2 linked regions of the Daphnia pulex genome follow. The protein of the gene in region 2 interacts with the protein of the main gene of each other region in a pairwise test. Links are inferred from orthologs where the notes say so. Each region holds a gene or a part of one and is shown on either strand. Other genes may lie near its edges. The genes, in order: rab5 GDP/GTP exchange factor-like and RING finger protein 11-like.

Evidence for each region.
Region 1: the proteins of RING finger protein 11-like (region 2) and rab5 GDP/GTP exchange factor-like interact in binary tests that used the Homo sapiens proteins (3 or more experiments, as listed by UniProt). The link is inferred for Daphnia pulex from reciprocal best matches to the Homo sapiens genes RNF11 and RABGEF1.

The regions. Positions count from the first base shown.
Region 1 is NC_060026.1:15,789,120-15,792,392, forward strand, and holds the end of rab5 GDP/GTP exchange factor-like, read right to left. Parts: coding exon 3,235-3,273; intron 3,172-3,234; coding exon 2,747-3,171; intron 2,691-2,746; coding exon 2,463-2,690; intron 2,398-2,462; coding exon 2,094-2,397; intron 2,022-2,093; coding exon 1,964-2,021; intron 1,890-1,963; coding exon 1,758-1,889; intron 1,697-1,757; coding exon 1,586-1,696; intron 1,512-1,585; coding exon 1,026-1,511; 3' UTR 522-1,025; downstream 1-521. UniProt on the Homo sapiens protein: Rab effector protein acting as linker between gamma-adaptin, RAB4A or RAB5A. Involved in endocytic membrane fusion and membrane trafficking of recycling endosomes. Stimulates nucleotide exchange on RAB5A. Can act as a ubiquitin ligase.
Region 2 is NC_060023.1:11,168,826-11,172,751, reverse strand, and holds RING finger protein 11-like, read right to left. Parts: upstream 2,636-3,926; 5' UTR 2,498-2,635; exon of another isoform or gene 2,432-2,497; 5' UTR 2,352-2,431; coding exon 2,306-2,351; intron 2,145-2,305; coding exon 1,999-2,144; intron 1,941-1,998; coding exon 1,792-1,940; intron 1,722-1,791; coding exon 1,550-1,721; 3' UTR 409-1,549; downstream 1-408. Other genes in the region: putative ammonium transporter 1, read left to right, coding at 3,739-3,865. UniProt on the Homo sapiens protein: Essential component of a ubiquitin-editing protein complex, comprising also TNFAIP3, ITCH and TAX1BP1, that ensures the transient nature of inflammatory signaling pathways. Promotes the association of TNFAIP3 to RIPK1 after TNF stimulation.

The sequences.
Region 1 (3,273 bases), on a different chromosome or scaffold from region 2:
TACTTTCGTTGAGGAGTTGATATTTTTGTAACCAGTTCGGACGTTTGCCAGGAAGGTGTTGACAGCCAGCTGCGGTTTACTCCATAGGATCGATTCATCATTTAACTTGAAAGCTAAGACGAAGATTCATGAAATGGCCATTCATTTTCAATCTTTGTTAATATTATGGCACAATCTTTTACCTGCAACGATCCGATTTCATTACGTAAGGGAAGAAATCAATGTCGTACCCCAAAACTGCCATTGGAGCGCAAAAGAGCCTATAGAAACATTTGCTTTGACAAGGAATATAAATCGTGAATCAATTCTTTACCATAAATTCACCAGCGACAGCAGGTGTTTCCCCGAAGACCGATCGCGTTCCTCACTGTCAGTTCCTAGACGAAATTGAGTTAATTTGCAAAACAAAAACAACAATTAAATTGTCTAAAAAAGAAAATACGCCAACACCATTACCTGCGAGAATTCCCAGTAGACTGGCTCTCCACCCCACGTACAAATCAATAGAAAATTGCAATGTATACACGAGTAAAATTCTATTGAATCTCTTTCACGATGTTCACATTGCCCACAGACATTCATCCTGCAAGACGAATCATGCAAAAGAATCATCCGCAATCCCAACAGTTTCACTGTTTTCGCTTTGAACTGGAAAAATACTCAAACGACTCTTTGGAAAACAAAGATAATTATTTGCGGATGACCAAGGGCAGAGGAATAGCATTGAGATAAGAGAGACTAGAATAGGAAGAGAAGGGGAGAAAAATGTGTTTGTTAAAAACGTTAGCAGTCATCGCGTTTCACTCTAATGCTGCCCGGGAAATATTATGGAAAAAAGCACATCATGCAAATTCGTTAAGGTGATTTAAATTACACAATAGAGTTGAACTCGCAAAGGGTAACGGGATATTACATTCCCTGTCTAGTAGTTGTTCTTTTTCAATTGTTTTTTGTTTGTTATTTTCATTTCGATTGGGAAAAACGAAATCAAATCATTAAAACAAAAACTATTGAGGTGGGAGTTTTTAGTTGGAGGGAGGGAGTTGTTGGCCAGTGGGTGAAATGTTTTCGCAAGGAATACACGGAATGATCCGGCCTTGAACGGTCAGAGAAAGTGAACTAAACGGGTCGTCGTCTGTAGTCGTCTCCAGCAGCAGAGTGTTTGGCTCTCCAGAGGACGAGCAACTTATCGACAGTTCATTAAGAGCCAGCAGATCAAGTTCCTGGATCGATCCGTCCAGTAGATTGTCGGTGGCCGCCACCCTGCGTCCCACGGGTGCAGCTGCGGCTACGTCCGGCACGAGATGCTCCAAATTGGATGATATCGAATCCACCAAGGGCGGAAGGGCAGACTCTGCGCTGATTTTATGCGGAAGCAACGGAGGAGGCAGCAGCTTGAGAGTATCACTCTCATTGGGCTGCACCTCATCAGGTTTGATTGGAGCTCGTTTGCCCCGAATCTGGACGGGAAACTGTTGCAAACACTCCACCACTTCCTTGCCCACACATTCCTGAATGACGAAGAGAAGAAGAAACGATAACGAACGTAAAAGTAGTGACAACAAAAGTATGAGGGTCATTTTACGTTGAAGATTTCCATGTCGCTTTTCAGCTCGAGGATTTGCTGCTGGAGGTTTGTCTGCTTGTGTTTCAGCTCCGACAGGGTCGACATGTTTTGGTACATGAGACGTAAACCCTGAAAATATAAAACGAGAAATGATTGCAATTCTTTAAAAACAACCGAAATGTAAATATACCTCCGACACCATCACACCGGCTTGAAGCGACGCAAATGGAATGGACTTGCCACTCATGTAACGGTCAAATTCCTCGCTCGACAATCCCAACGAATCGCTCGTCAAGTTTTCTAAAAAAGAAACGGCACAACACTGGCCAGAGAGAAAACAAAAGAACCAACGTCGTTACTCGCACATAATTAAGGTGAAAATGATTATGCAAATACCAAGTTGGTGAAGTAGTATCCACCCTCGCCCTGGAGCAATCGACCAGGGGCCGCAAATCTAAATGGAAATTACCCAACGTCAAATAGCGGCAACAACAAAAAAAAGTCATAACTATTATTATTATAATACCTCGTGATGAAATTGAGATTGGAATGAATGCGTGGTGGATTGGCACGCAACACTACGTAAATGAGCGCCGGCAGGAAATCATCGGCACTCACTGGGTGCGAACTGTAAACAGTTGGCTCTACCGCATCACCTTCGGTCATTTCTTTCGTCTGACCTTCGCCGGATTCTTCTTCCGCACGAGTTCGTGATTGATCGGCATTTGAATTGTGGGACAATCCCAACATTTCAAACACCAACTTGCTACAATTTATAATCGATGCCAGCTTGTCCTGAGGTGCTCTCTGGCCGTCCATTTCAATGAGATCTAAATTTATAGAGGTATTTTAGGTATTTTAGATGAACCGAGACGTAATGTATGACGGAACGTACGCGTGATGGCCTTCTCGAGGATATCTCGAACTTTAGAATCAAGTTCGTTGATTCGACAGTCGAGAAGTGGGGCCGAAATCCAATTCAAACTACGGATACGTTTCTGAACGGCCAAATCACGTTCTTCGTCATCGCAGGTGTGAGGGCAAAACAATTTTTTGTACAACAGTCGAGTCAGGTAACGTTCACTGTGATCTAACAAGGATTCCATCGAGCTGTTGGTCATGTCTGTAGAAAAAAAGATGTTTCAAGTGATGAAAATGATGAAAATATGTTAAGATTACCCAAGAAACCTGAATGAGTTTTCAGCTTTTCGTCAAAGACTTGATAAATGTTGTGAACCCTGTCAGATATCTCCAAAGGAGTGAGGACCCCAGATGATACTAGACCGTCCAGTTTTTGGGCTTGCATTCTCAAGAAACTGTAGGCGTGATGGGCAGCGTTTTGTGGTAGTGTTTGCAGAAATTGATCCAATTCTATAATGGCTGAATGGGATTCCGGACTGAGGGCTCTCTTGTCTTTTGATTTCGGGCTCCCCAAACCCTTGGTGGGTGTCTTCCTGAAGAGTGACTTGACGGCTGTTGTCCTCATCTCTTGATTATGCCTCTTTTTCTCTTCAAACCTGGAAAATCCATGGCGGGGAAGTGTCGAAGAATGGCTCTCTGGTTTGTTGAAGAATGTGCTTGCATCACTCTGCGATCTCTCAACTCTGCAATTGACAAAAATGCTGTTACATCCCGGAAAAGAATTTTAAATTGGTTCGACAACATACTTGCGCCCAAGAGAACTTGACGGTGAGGGGACAAAAGCC
Region 2 (3,926 bases):
TAAAAAAAAACCCTAATGTATTCAGTATTTTGACCCCGGCCCATTGGCATTGTTTGATGTTTTTATTGTCTCGTCTTTCAGTTAAAAAACTGAACGTGAAATGGTTTTGATCCGAGGTTTCGTAATCTCAATAATATTCTTGTCCTGTTAAACGTACATTACATTAAGTCCTAGTGATGTGTGTAAATTGTAAATATCCTTTAACCAATATGATCTGCTTATTACTGTATGTCTTACCTATTATAATCGGAACACAAATTGTATGTTGGTTTCGTGAGTTTGGATCACAAGAAAATATATCCATTCCTGGTGAACTTACCTAGTTATAAAATCCTTATGCAAAGAAATTAGAAGTTTTACATAGATAAAACGTAAGTGAAATCAATGAACTCCTCGTCAACACAATCGTCAATGATCCGATTACATGTAATGATTTCGAAACCAAGCCGCCCGATCGCGCTACAATAATATTTCATACACATGGGGATGGACTAGCATTTCGCCGTTACGAAAAAAAAAGTTATTACACGAACGACACTCACCAGCAGAATAGCACTCGTATATGTTCATTGAACATTATGATTCATCATCATCGAAGTAAAAAGAAGATTTTCCTGTTCACTAAATGATGAAAATAATAAAGAAGGAAATTAAACGACACAAAATAGGCTCCCCTCCCTGCTAGAGATGATTAAGTTGTTAAAACTAATAATAAACCATACTACACCGACGTACCACACGTAAGATAACATATTATACCGCGTAAATATCAGAAACGTTTCTGCAAAAGTGAATAACGCAAAGGAATGCCTTAATATGTTTGCGCGCTAATGCGCCAAAGGCAGTTGTGGATGAACAGGAAAAGAAGAGAATAAACAGAGCAACAAAAACCACCTTTTCAGATTTAGAAGTTACTGTAACCCAAAAGAACGGAAGGACCTGAATCCCACGTGAATCTACGAGCTCTAATCAAACGAAAAAAAATTTAAAGAAGGAAAAATAAGCAACGAAACGAGTTTGAACGCTCCAACAGTGTGAAATTGAGAGACTAGTGGCGAGGAAAAACGAAACAAAAAGGAGAGCCGATAAAGAAAAAAAAAACTAATAATCGCGGTACAAAACGTTCCTCCTATAGCGCAATGAAAGATAGAAAAATCTAAAGAGAGAGGAAAAAAAAAAGTACAAAGTGGCTTTGTATATCATATTTAAAGGTACGAACTCTAGGCGTAAAAACAGAAGCCAGGAAGAGTTTCTTCTTCTATCTGGTGCGACCGAATTCACCGAAACTTTATCACACGGGAATCTCTTCTTCTCCTTCTCTCTCTTTTTTAAACATAGGGACAACGTAACTCAAAAAAGTCTCCTCTTCGACCGCAGTCTTAATACTTTCGAAAAGGAACCAAAATAAAGAATCCAGTTATCACTTTGCGATGACGCGTTATTTCCGGCTTTTCGAATATGAAATTCTCAGTTCGGATGAAGCTCATTCTATAGAGAGAGAGAGCAGGACTGATGAGGTGATGACGCCTTTGTCTTTTGCATGTAGTAGTTAGTTGGCTTCGTAGGTCGAGAGGAGGGCCGACTCGACCGGTTCCATGCATGACGGGCATGTAAAACTTCTCATTAGCCAATCGTCGATGCACTCGACATGATACGTGTGCATGCATGGGAGGTATCGAACGGAATCGCCCACCATGAACTCCACCATGCATATCACACATCTGTAAAAATTAAATAACAATAAACACCGCCACAATGAACAGTACTGAATGTGACTCAAAAAGATCCTACTCTCTGTTTTTCTTGCACCCGTCATAAGTTCCTGTGGGTAGGTGTTGGATGAGACCAATACGTTTGGCTATCTTCACTTGCTCTTCTTCGGTGAGCTGTGAAGCTGGTCTTGACACGTTGGGAGTTGGGTGATACATGGGCATGGATTCCTACAAAAAAACTATACTGAAGGTCACGGCAACAAACTCGATCACTGGAATAACAAACCTCGTATGGAGGTGGAGGCCCAAAAGCCATTCCTGAGGATGAAGAAGCATGCAGCTGCAAGTCTGATGAAGACTGAGACTCTAGCGATGGTGGTGGTGTTTCATTACCCCTAAGCAGGGAAACCCCATCAGTGGACGAGGTCAGACCTTGGAAAAGAACAAAGGCAAGAGTTACGAAATATCTCACAGGCTTTGCTGAGTGAAGTTGACTGGGGATTGCACCAGATTTCTGTATACAAAACAATCTCTACAACACAAAGGACAACTAAAGGAGAATATAAATGAATTAACTGAAAATTAATGTTTACTAGAGAATTGACAACAACCGCAACAACCTTGAAGGCAATTGCCCATTCCTGACGACTTTTGTTTTCCTGGCGAATACAAAACACCCGACAACGAAAGTAACAACGCGAATCGGTGGTGCTCCGAAACTACACACTCGAGTACTTTAGTTTATCAATTCAACATATCAAAATTTGGAAACGTGTACACGGTACTTGATAAGATTTGGCTGTTTAAGAAATGAGCTCAAATAGACAGAGAAACGTTAAGTCAAACAACAACGCAATCACTCAGCGCATCGTGTGCTCTCCTGGCCAGCTGATTTCTCTTTGTCACAAAATTCGGGATAAAAACATCAAGGCTTTTCCGGGGGGGTAACCTACTTTTTTTGTTCGTGAAAAACAAAGTTTCACAACATTTGACTATTATTAGTTAAGAAAACATTCTAATATTAATTTAAATGAAAAATTACTTCAATAATTAAGTAAAGACTATTTGGTAATTTTTTTATTTATTTTGTGACTCGACCAAAACATTTTGTCGGCCGATATTTCGGCGCTGTACGATAGGTGGCGCCAAATTCAAACCGAGCTAGAAATCAATATGTGACGATGTACTGACGTGGCCTACGTCATCCCAAAATAAATCGAAAAAGCAGTGCAGGTAAAATCCATCAATAACTCACGTTCTAGAGTATAGATCGAAACCATTCTATTTAACTTAAATGTTTTCTAATGTAATAATTCTAATTTTCTAATGTCTAAGTTCAGTGTCACCAACCAATCAGAAGATTAACCAGTGTGTTGTTTTTCCAGTAGTAGTTGATATATCTTTGGAAACCCATGTACTTATGACAGTTAATAAATGAATAAATCAAAGTGTCGTGAGTTGCCAAGCTAGCTTCGCTGCGTCATTTAGATCATTGACAAACAAACACAGAAACTACGCATCCTAAGTTATTACACACAATAACTGTCAGCATAAAAGTTAGCCATTCCAAAATGATGAGCATGTCCACCAACTTGAGTGAATAGGAGAATGTAGGCCATGTGAGGCCAGGCATGGCCCATCTATAATTAGTGAGATTACAACCAGTTAGAGCTTGGCATCCCAACTTGGCAATCGAAGATCGATGATGAAGTAGTGCAAGATACAGAGATATTAAAAATCTAGTTGACTCACGAGTTGAAACTGAATTTGTGTTGCACTTGCGCCCTGGTCCTCAGAATCTCTTAGCTACACGAAACTGGCATTGTTAGTCACGAACCGGATTCCCGACTCTTCACAACCAGATGGCTGGTGCGCCGCACGCAAGTTTCTCGCCTTTAAAAAGAGTCTTTTTCCCGATGTACTAAGCGTCCGCTCTCCATTGACAAAATCGTGAGCGAACGAATATCCCGAAGTGCAGGGGGGAAAAAATAATAAAAGAAGTGTTGTCACTGCACGGTGCTGCGCCATGGCGTCGCCCTTGATCAATCAAAGTGATCCAATCGCTTCAATAAATCTCATTCACGACGAGTTGGAGTCCTTCAAGAAGAACGTCGACATCTTTTTCCTCGTTGTCATGGGCAGCATCGTCTTCTGTGAGTTAAACTGAGCCTTAAATCACATTGATTGGCCGGGGGAAAAGAAAACAGGAAATAT